Neodiprion lecontei: one gene and its partner. The protein of the gene in region 1 interacts with the protein of each later gene in a pairwise test. Links are inferred from orthologs where the notes say so. Each region holds a gene or a part of one and is shown on either strand. Other genes may lie near its edges. The genes, in order: eukaryotic translation initiation factor 4E transporter and eukaryotic translation initiation factor 4E.

Region 1 (4,903 bases):
TCGGTGTGTGTGAGTGGTTAAAACGATATATTCTTATTTTTGGACCGTAAAATAGTTCAGTTGCTGAAAAAGAAGTTTCTGCAGCGACTATATTCTCTATTGATGTAAGCAAAGCTTCGCACTCGCTTGTCCTCCGCTATATGAATTTCGCAATTTTTTTTCTTATGTCAAGGCTTAAGGAAGTTGGTCGGTAAAAAAATTAATGCATTTTATTAATCTTATTATAAGACGGTACGTACATTAAAAATTTATGAAATCGTCTTTTTCAAAATACCAAAATAGATACTGGAATTATGAAAAAAAGTTTAAATATCTATGAAAAGTGTGAGGTTGAAATTAGTAACATTGTAATGAAACATCGGATTGTCCGAAACGTTAATTCATTACAATAACGTTACTAACTTCAAGATCATAAAAAAGTGTGTCAGTGAATTTGTAGAAAATTTAATAGTCCTTTAAATAAAATGAGCCATCATCGAGTGAAATCGAATGAATCTAGTAGATTCGTAACAATTTTGAAGCAATTTGAAACGAAGCATCGATATCTAAGCTCTTGCTTGCAATTCCAGTATTTTCTATTTTTTCATTCTCATAGCGATCTTTCCAGCTTAAGAATATATTAATTTGATCAATACTACATATACGACTACCTCCTAATAAAATTTATAAAAAGTATATGATTTTGACCAACCAACTTTCTTACTTAAGCTGGGTACAATAAGTCGGAAAAGTCGGAGATTCTTTCGTTATCCCGGCGACAAAGCGAAAAACATTTTCTTTCCAAAATTATTCCTTTATCCGCGAACTAAATTCAACCTGGTGATCGCATAAAATATTTGCACACTTCCTAAAACTTATACCCGCCCCGAAGTTTTTACGTCCAACAATCTTTTTTTTTTATTTTTAATTTTTTTTTTTTATTTATTTAGCGAAGTTCAAATTAGTAACGTAATAATCGTAATAAAACACAAAAACAATCTATATTTTGCAGCAGGACAAGGAGTTTGAGAGAAGTTTGCTTTATTACGATTTACTGAATTTTTTAATATTTACATAAAGTTACGAAATAACGATTTTTGACGAAACACACTTCGCTATATTAACGTTACAAACTTTAATCTTACATCCTACTAACGATTGCTCATTCTATGCGGCGCATCCCCTACACTCTGTACTCAATTTCAAGGCTGAAAAACTTATTTTTTGCTCCGAGGGCTGAGTGTACAAGAGAACCAAACCTGTATCTGAATTATACCGTTCTAAGTCAACAATTACAATATACTCAAGGGCGAATTTTGCGCTCTACATGCCTGCAGTTCGAATTGATTTTTGCGCGTCGTTTTTCCAACTGTAGTACATCGCAAGGAAAAATTGAATGTACAAGGCAAACTGCGCAAAAATCATTCTACAAAACCGTGAGCTAATTCTTCAATCCATGAGTAACTAGTATTAGAGGCATATTCTAATTCATCGGATAGACGCCAGAAAAAAAAATTGTATTTAGTTTGTACTGGATTTTACATACATTTCACATACTGGATTACGAATCAGAAATTTAGTCAAAACGGTCTGTCTTCAAGCGTCTCGTACTTTCCGACGACTCTCGAGGATATTGTCCCCAAGTTTGAGCATCCATTTCGGCTACATTGTTCACGTGGTCAGCAAGAAGTCGGGTTTATAGCATGTGTATTGGTGTCCAAATAGTAAACATCGCGGTCGAATTCAAAGGACAACGGTTTAGCAAGTACGGCAGGCAAGAAGCAGTACATGAATTTGTCCGTGGTTGAAAATCGCCAGTTGTCTTTCGAGACGAAATCAGTTAGCGTTGAAAGAGTCGATCGCATCTTCTAATCGTTAAATCCGTATTTCACCCGTTCGATTCAGCTACTTTTGTTTACGTGTTCAAAAATATTGCTTATTCCGTTGCAAAATGAAGCTGGAAAATAACGAAATCAGCGCCGGTTCAACTTATCGATACCGGCGTCCGCGTCGTCGCCCGCTTGTTGGGCCGACGGGTTCGTGTATTCTTGATTCTCTGGTTATCCAGAATCAAGGAGTTCGATGGTCTCGTCGCAACCGTGCTTCCAATCCCGTAAAAAGAGTTACTTTTCGTGAGTATCACTTGGCTATCAGAGTTTCAAATTTTCTTTTTCATTAAGGGGGTACCCTGGTCGATTTCGACGTTGTCGTATATATGCATCTCCAAATATCGAAGTCCACGTATCTCAAACGCAAAAAAGGACATCATCCTTTCAGTTGCACATTTTTCAACTCAATATTTCAGCCTGAATTTTGTGACATGGGGGTTTTTCAGGTTGCTAATTACGAATCTGAAATCAGAATTCAATCATTTCTAAATCCAATATAACGGATGTAAAATCTAATAAAAACTATAAAAATTCGATGATTCTGGTCCAAACTTGTTACTCGAGGATTTTGGTGTTATATATACGTAACAACGATCATTTGATGTTTTAAATAAACTGCGATAAGGCTAGGAAATGGAAATGTTGAGGTGAGACGCTGAGCATCTGTGACTGAAAGGGTTAATCCTTTCCGGTTTCTCTTCTAGTTTTGTTTCATCATCATTACAGTTTTGTTGTAATTCGCTAGGGCAATTTCTCCTTATTGCTAAAGACGAATACGCCTACATTACATTCAAAATGCTTCGTGTACAGGCTTTGCGCGGACAATGTATTATGATTTATTTGCGGATACTAGTTCAGTGTCACGATCGGTGTTGTTTGATCTCAATATTGACATACAACGATACGTACATTGTACATATACCGCGAAAATATGGCGAAGCCGGCAACTCGTCGACCGAGACGAGGTGACTCCGTGTATTGCGGCAACCATGGCGGAATGGCCTTTTCTCACCGCGAAGACAGTGAAGTTAGTAACGTTAATGTAACGATTAATTTTTAGGAAAAATCATTATTTCGCAACTGTAGGATCGTCTCAAATTGACTAAGCTATTTTTAAAAAGCCAAATGTATTCTGATTATGGAAATTAAATTCCTTTAAAGTCGTTTTAAATTTTCAGAACAATAGTTTTAGTTTCAATATTTCGTTACTTTAACGCTACTAACTTCAATCTGATTCATTGCGAGAGTGTCAGGTATCCGCTTTACCGATCCGCTAACTTGCAGACAGCTTTTTAGCCTCAATTATCTCGATCTGGTTGCAATTTGGATGATTTAGAAAGTCCAATTTTCAAGCCCTTGTACGTCAAATGTTTACGAGTTACGATCAATTTTATCACGGTTTCGAATTTTTTGTACTTGTTGGAAAACATTTGATCTCTCCGAATATAAAATACATTTGAAGGCATGAGAAATTCAGGAATTGCCAAAAACAATATATGTTTCCCGACATTTTCAGTCCTGTATATGCGAAGAGGGTAAAAATAAACTGTATTTATTTTTCCGTGTAATATAATGGACGTTTTGTAGTATATCCTGGAATTTTGAGAGTAAACTGAAAATGGGATTATATTTATAATCGATATAAATGTACCAGGGACATATAAGGTGTTTAGAAAATTCAAGATCCTTGGAATATTGACATTTATTTTAACTCGGAACCCATTTTCATCCCACATTAAAAACTTCAGGATACCGTCTAAAATATCTAATTCTTCGATCAAAAGAATGAAAACAATTAATTTCCTAGACTTATTTTTGCATGAAACGGCATAAAAGGGCTCTGCTGCTTTCTTGCGATTGTAATGCATAAGCGTTGGTAACATTTAAATTAAGCGAAATTTTACTCGGTCGGTACAGACTGATTATAGCATCGTCTTAAAGGCTAAAAATTGAACGATTTTCATAATTAATTGTAAGTGTACACTATGAGGTACTGAAGTACAGTCAGAGCTAATATTTTGCCCTCAAAAACTGGCACATATCTTAAATCTGCCAACAGAGAGACTGAGGCAACCCATAGTTTCTGATTCTGGATGTGGGGTTATGTCTCCGGACCCCATCTTTTGCACTCTGGTTTACGTTTTTCGGTAGCAATACTGTCACATATATAATTGGTCTTATCATCATCGTTTATATGGCATCTATGTGACTTACAAAATGACAGCTCATTTATACATTTGTACATGTATCATGCATGCGATGGTTTAACAATAATTTCATAATCATAATAAGTACTAACATTAACCTGAAGTTCAAAAATTCCTCACTCTTATCATTTTTAAGATCCTTGCTGTGAAATATAACTATTCAAATAACTCGTAACTAGATAATTCATTTCACATCATTTATTGTGCGATTTTCCAAACCCAGTAATATGAATTGATAATAATAAGAATTATATCTGTGTTTGTTGCGTATATATGTATAATAAACTGAATTTCATACATTTTAGTTTTTTGAATGATGTTGAAAATTGAAAATATTGCTGCAGGAGATGAAGCGATAATATCGATGTCTGTGGCAGGCGAAGTGACTGATACTTCTATTGTGGAAGTGGGCAGATCTCGACCTCAGTTTCAATATACTCGGGTAAGCGAAAGATGTATTACTATTAATTTTAGGTAATGGTCAGATCTTTCACTAATTCAATTCATGATATAATAATCATTGTGACTTTCCATCCATAGGAGGAACTGATGGAAATGAAGACTCAACCTCTATCCAAGCGTAGGCCAGATTGTTTGGATTCCGCTTATAATAAGTGCGTTTATATTTGTGTATATTTTATTTATTGAAGTTCCATAATTATTTGGTATATTTGTTATATCTAAATTACAATTGTTTTTCCATCCAGTTCGCGAGGCGTTTGGGACCCTGAGCGTTGGCATCTTGATAGAAAGCGAAGTGAAACTCCTCCTGACGATGACAGAAATGGACGCGGGGATCAAGTGATTGAAAATCATAGTAAACGTCGC
Region 2 (5,034 bases), on another chromosome or scaffold:
CATGTAGTTAGTAATAGGAATTGAAAAGTGTACGGAAGCCGGTCTACGAATGTACCGGAATGTATTCTACAGATGCATCCCCTATGCTTCTAGTTACACAGGTCTGGTTTAAAGAACAGATTGGCACAATTTCTACATCAGATGAAAGCAATGGCAGCAAAAACAAGACTGGCTAAATGTTATGAAAAATATGAGAAATAACAGTGCGATAATTCTTCAGAAGAACAGAGGACCATAATATATTTGGTTTTTTAGCCCTCTGAGGGCAACCATTTTCAGGGGTCCCTTGTTTAGGCAACCCTGTGTTAAGCAGAATTGGTTTTGTTTATAAAAACGGTTTAAATTCATATTTTTCAGCTTGTAAATAGTGAAATGAAATCGTTAGAATGTCTAGCGTACGATGGTAGAGGAACGAATTCGATATGTTTACTTTAGATGACGTAGTAAGATTTAATACAAAATGAGATATAAGGAATTGGCAAAAATAAATGGGTAATGATCCAGGTTGCCTCCAGAGGGTCAATCAGCCCTGTATCACTTGAAGTCAACAAAATACAGTCCAAATGCTAACCTTGCAGAATATTTTTTGTAAAGCCTAGTTCAGATGATCATATGTACATCTTTGCTTCGACAATTACCTTGAAGTGGGAACAAATTATAAGGAACAAAATAAAACAAAGATAAAATGTTAATCCAACAAATGGTAGAGTAAGTTCAATAAATTTTCTAAAGCTAAATTATTGAAATGGTTTTTGAGCAATTCCTTAATCATATGTTTGATTTTTTGTCTCATTTTACAGTAAAAGTGAAAGTAATGCGTGAAAGCTGCATTAGACAAGTAATGAAATACTGCACAAAATACAAGCTTTATAATACATATCACTGCATACTTTACACACAAGAAGTGTGTAACTTTGATAATGTTTCTAGCATTCGTACAGTATTGGTTAATGTTAGTGACAACTTGGCAGAAGAAAATTGTGAATTAGAAACGATGTAATGTAAACTGGGAAGAATTATCGAAATAAAAACAGGAGCGTTTGTTATCGTTCAAGCAGCTTAATTGTTATGTGGTTTGTTTACATTTTCTGGTTGGCTGTTTGGATATATCAAGTGAGGATGTTCTTTTTGATGTCCAGTCTTACTCCGTTGATTTGTAGTCTTTCTATTAAACATAATATGATCATCCGAACCTGCTTAAAAAGAGATAATATCGAAAAATAGGTCAATTTTGATGTAACTTCAGGAACAAGCCTAGAAGCTGAGAGTAGTTTTATGACCTTTGTGGCAAAATTGTACGGTGGATTAAAACGTGCAATAGCTGTTTACATTACAAAAATTTGACAAGAAAATTAATCACGACAAATTTAGAGGCATGTTTCATTCAAAAAAATGTCTAAAGACTAATTACACTGTCTTTACCAACCAACGAGCTAACCCCAAATTACAACACGCCTACAAACCATCGATTTTCTAACACGAGATTCAAGAAGAATTGAGGAAAGGGATCCATAGAATAATAACATCGAATATTCACCGCATGCTTCATATTGATCACGATTTCACGGTTCACTGTTTACATGGAATATGTGAGTTGCAAAAAAAAAATAAATATGTTCACTACAAATCACGCGAAATTAGTAGCGTTCCGTGTGGTTGCTGCGAGTTTCACGCTCGCAGAGATGTCGCTGCGGACGAGGTTTTGCGTAGGTGAAAAAAAAAAAAAAAGAAAGACATATAAATAGGGGAAAACAAAAAATACGCCGTCTTTCAATTACAAAACAAAGTTCGTAATTTTCGTGATTATAAAAATAATCAGTGTATTATTGAAAATTTCTCGCTTCATGAAGTAATTACATCTACCTCTGGAAAAGATCCACAAAAAAAATCTGAAGGAACTCAATCATCACGATCGCCGAGGCATCTCTATTTCTTTCTTGTCTGTGTTTGGTCTGTGTCACTGCGTGTTGGTCTTCCCGTTTGCCTCTGCACCGGCTAGCTCGTTTTTCGAAACAATTCCTCGCCGAGCCCGAGTGACTAGTTACGCAAACTCTTACCGACAGATGCCCTTAGTTGTCATTTGCTGAAAATCCTGGCGGTCGACTCCTGTGACATGGCTGCAAATAATTCGGCAGAAATCGAGGTATACTTGTAAAATTTCGTTGAATTATCGTATTTTCTTAACCGAAACTTAACTCGCTTTCCAACGAATATCATTAGTCCGGTATTTTAACCAAAAAAGGTCCGGTTTCACGCATCAGCATGGTTGCTTCCTCGTGCTCCCCGCCGCCACCCTGACCCTCGTCCTTTTGCTGATAGGCATAACCTACTACTATCGCTTCGTTAGATCATTCATTTCTCTGCGTTAACCAATTCTCTTTCTCGTCTTACCGTAAAACGAATTAAAATGATACCAATCATTTTTGTTCGTTCTCCTTGTGTAGATTTCTCGACAACTATTCATTTCAATTCGCGCGATAGTTGATGGTACTTATCATTCATCACTCACGCTTTGGACAACTTCACTCCATACAAAATCTATCAAAGTACTCGTGGTTTCACACGTTCAGAGCTCCGTTCGCTTGAATATGCGGAAATCGCAGTGGTATATGTAGTTTGAATTTACATTTAATTATGTTTGCAGAGTCTGTAGAAAATATTTACCGGCAGTATATGAATGTTGTACAGTAAGCAGAGGTGTATTTATCATTGCAGGATACAGAGAAGAAGGACCAAGAAGTAGCAAATTTGGAAGAATTTCCACCAGAGCTTCTTATCAAGCATCCGTTGCAAAATACTTGGACACTTTGGTACTATGAGAATGATCGCAGTAAGACATGGGAACAAAATCAGCGTGAAATCACAAGTTTCGACACAGCAGAAGATTTTTGGAGGTATTTTTTATAGAAATTTAGTTTTGACGGTCCTTCCACTTTAATATTCCTTCTATCATTTTTGCAAAGTTGAAAAATTACCCTGAATCATTTGTTTAAAAAGTTAAACTCTCAATTAATCAATCAGTAGTACCAAATTCATGTACTGTCAAGTTTTCGTTAAAATTTTTCAATTCCAAAGTAGTATTTACTTCATGAGTAAAGAGAATGGAATGTATATCGCTTTGCTCTCTATGCTTAAATGATGTCAAGTTAGTTTTACGTGCTATACTTTCACATGGTCGTGATCCACTTTCTTCACATTGTATTACATCGAAACATTTACACTTGACCATCCTGTTTTTGAAAAAGTTAACAGTCTCAAGTATCCTGCATATTTCAGCTGTATTATCAAATGTTTTATTTAGTTTCTACCTGTATATTTACACTTCATCTTATGATTAAATTCTTTTTCTAGCTTGTACAATCACATAAAGTTGGCCTCAGAGCTGCGGCAAGGCTGTGACTACAGTATGTTCAAGCAGGGTATTCGGCCAATGTGGGAAGATGATGCAAATAAAAAAGGAGGCAGGTGGCTCATTAGCTTGGACAAAAAGCAAAGAGGAAGTGATTTAGACCGTTTTTGGCTTGAAGTTCTTCTCTGTATGATTGGTGAAGCATTTAACGAGTTCTCTGATGATGTATGTGGAGCTGTGGTCAACGTAAGACCAAAAGGTGACAAAATTGGTGTATGGACAGCAGATGCAAACAGGGGTCAAAGCGTATTGGAAATCGGGTAAGATATTTTTCTAATTAAACCAGAATTGGAAACTGCAGTTTTCCTTAATGTGCCGTATAACCTTTAATATTCTTATTGCAGGCGCAAACTAAAGGAAAGACTGCGGATTGCACCAAGGGTGCAAATAGGCTACCAAATTCATAAGGACACCATGGCTAAAGCAGGAAGCGTCACGAAGAACACTTATTCGGTTTAACCACAGCCCTTTTCTATTATTATTATACATCATCCTCATATTTCCTGACCCCAACCATTCGAATAACAAATAATTGCAGAGCAAATTATCTAATAGATATATTTATGGATCATCTGAATTCAACTGTCTGTATTCAGGAGAGGAATATACACATGTACAGAACTAGTGAATGGCTGAGCAAAGAAATAAGCAGTCCCTTCCCCTATTGCGCCCTCCAAAAATTATGTTGACGTAATCATGTTTCCTCTCATAATACGCGACTGAGTGATGGTTAATAAATGAGTTATTATATAACTAAATGCAAGATTTGTTAGTATAAAATTTTACATTGATATATATAACTTGTTCTCACAGTTATTCACCCAGAGGACATTAGCGCAGGCTGCTGTATTTTTTTTCCCTATATATATAATTTTTCTTTTATAAGAATATGTGAAAGAATCTGTACACAAAGGTATAGTCAAGTCATATGTGGAATAAAGTTATTCTTTTCTCACAATCCTTTGTTATATACCCTCCCTGATGTATAATAGGATTCGTGAAATAATTATCTAATTACTACCTAAAATTAGTGGTTTAGAAATGTTCGAATCAAAAGAATTTAACAGGAATCTTCCACTCAGAACTGAAATACATAAATAACCGAAATGCAGCAGCCAGCAAAAGCAAAATAATTTCTCAGTCCATTACTAGTTTAGTTGCATTTTCACTTCCATTTATACTATACGAATCTGCTTGAAACTGGTAACGATAGAGAATATATCTTTATTTTTCAGTGACCTATTATGTTATGAAAATTGTCAGCGTATGTAATACAGCATGCCAATTATAAATGTTGCCTTGTCAATTTATTTACTGTTTACTTCCCTGTTAAAACTGTTACATTATACTTCATTTTCTGTTACCTGCTTCTGAATTTGTCACTATGCGAATATACTATGTATTCGGACGTGAAACTAAAAATATACGCAGATAAATATTCAACAATTTGTTGATAATAAACGTGTGAAAAAAAAAAGCACAGTCCGGATTTACATTATTACGTAGACGTAAATGTACACATATTATCGTAATATATCCTCAGTAGTCCAAATATTCGTTTGTACCATACTTACATACGCCAACATTACATATCAAGATAAAAACAAAAATATCGAGCACACGGT

Evidence for each region.
Region 2: the proteins of eukaryotic translation initiation factor 4E transporter (region 1) and eukaryotic translation initiation factor 4E interact in binary tests that used the Homo sapiens proteins (3 or more experiments, as listed by UniProt). The link is inferred for Neodiprion lecontei from reciprocal best matches to the Homo sapiens genes EIF4ENIF1 and EIF4E.

Annotation. Positions count from the first base shown.
Region 1 is NC_060261.1:14,470,354-14,475,256, reverse strand, and holds the start of eukaryotic translation initiation factor 4E transporter, read left to right. Parts: upstream 1-1,756; 5' UTR 1,757-1,930; coding exon 1,931-2,111; intron 2,112-4,419; coding exon 4,420-4,517; intron 4,518-4,615; coding exon 4,616-4,689; intron 4,690-4,782; coding exon 4,783-4,903. UniProt on the Homo sapiens protein: EIF4E-binding protein that regulates translation and stability of mRNAs in processing bodies (P-bodies). Plays a key role in P-bodies to coordinate the storage of translationally inactive mRNAs in the cytoplasm and prevent their degradation.
Region 2 is NC_060260.1:30,404,835-30,409,868, reverse strand, and holds eukaryotic translation initiation factor 4E, read left to right. Parts: upstream 1-2,008; 5' UTR 2,009-2,113; coding exon 2,114-2,143; intron 2,144-2,715; coding exon 2,716-2,894; intron 2,895-3,351; coding exon 3,352-3,669; exon of another isoform or gene 3,670-3,753; coding exon 3,754-3,868; 3' UTR 3,869-4,367; downstream 4,368-5,034. Other genes in the region: uncharacterized protein LOC107224388, read right to left, coding at 1,084-1,165, 1,864-1,907. UniProt on the Homo sapiens protein: Acts in the cytoplasm to initiate and regulate protein synthesis and is required in the nucleus for export of a subset of mRNAs from the nucleus to the cytoplasm which promotes processes such as RNA capping, processing and splicing.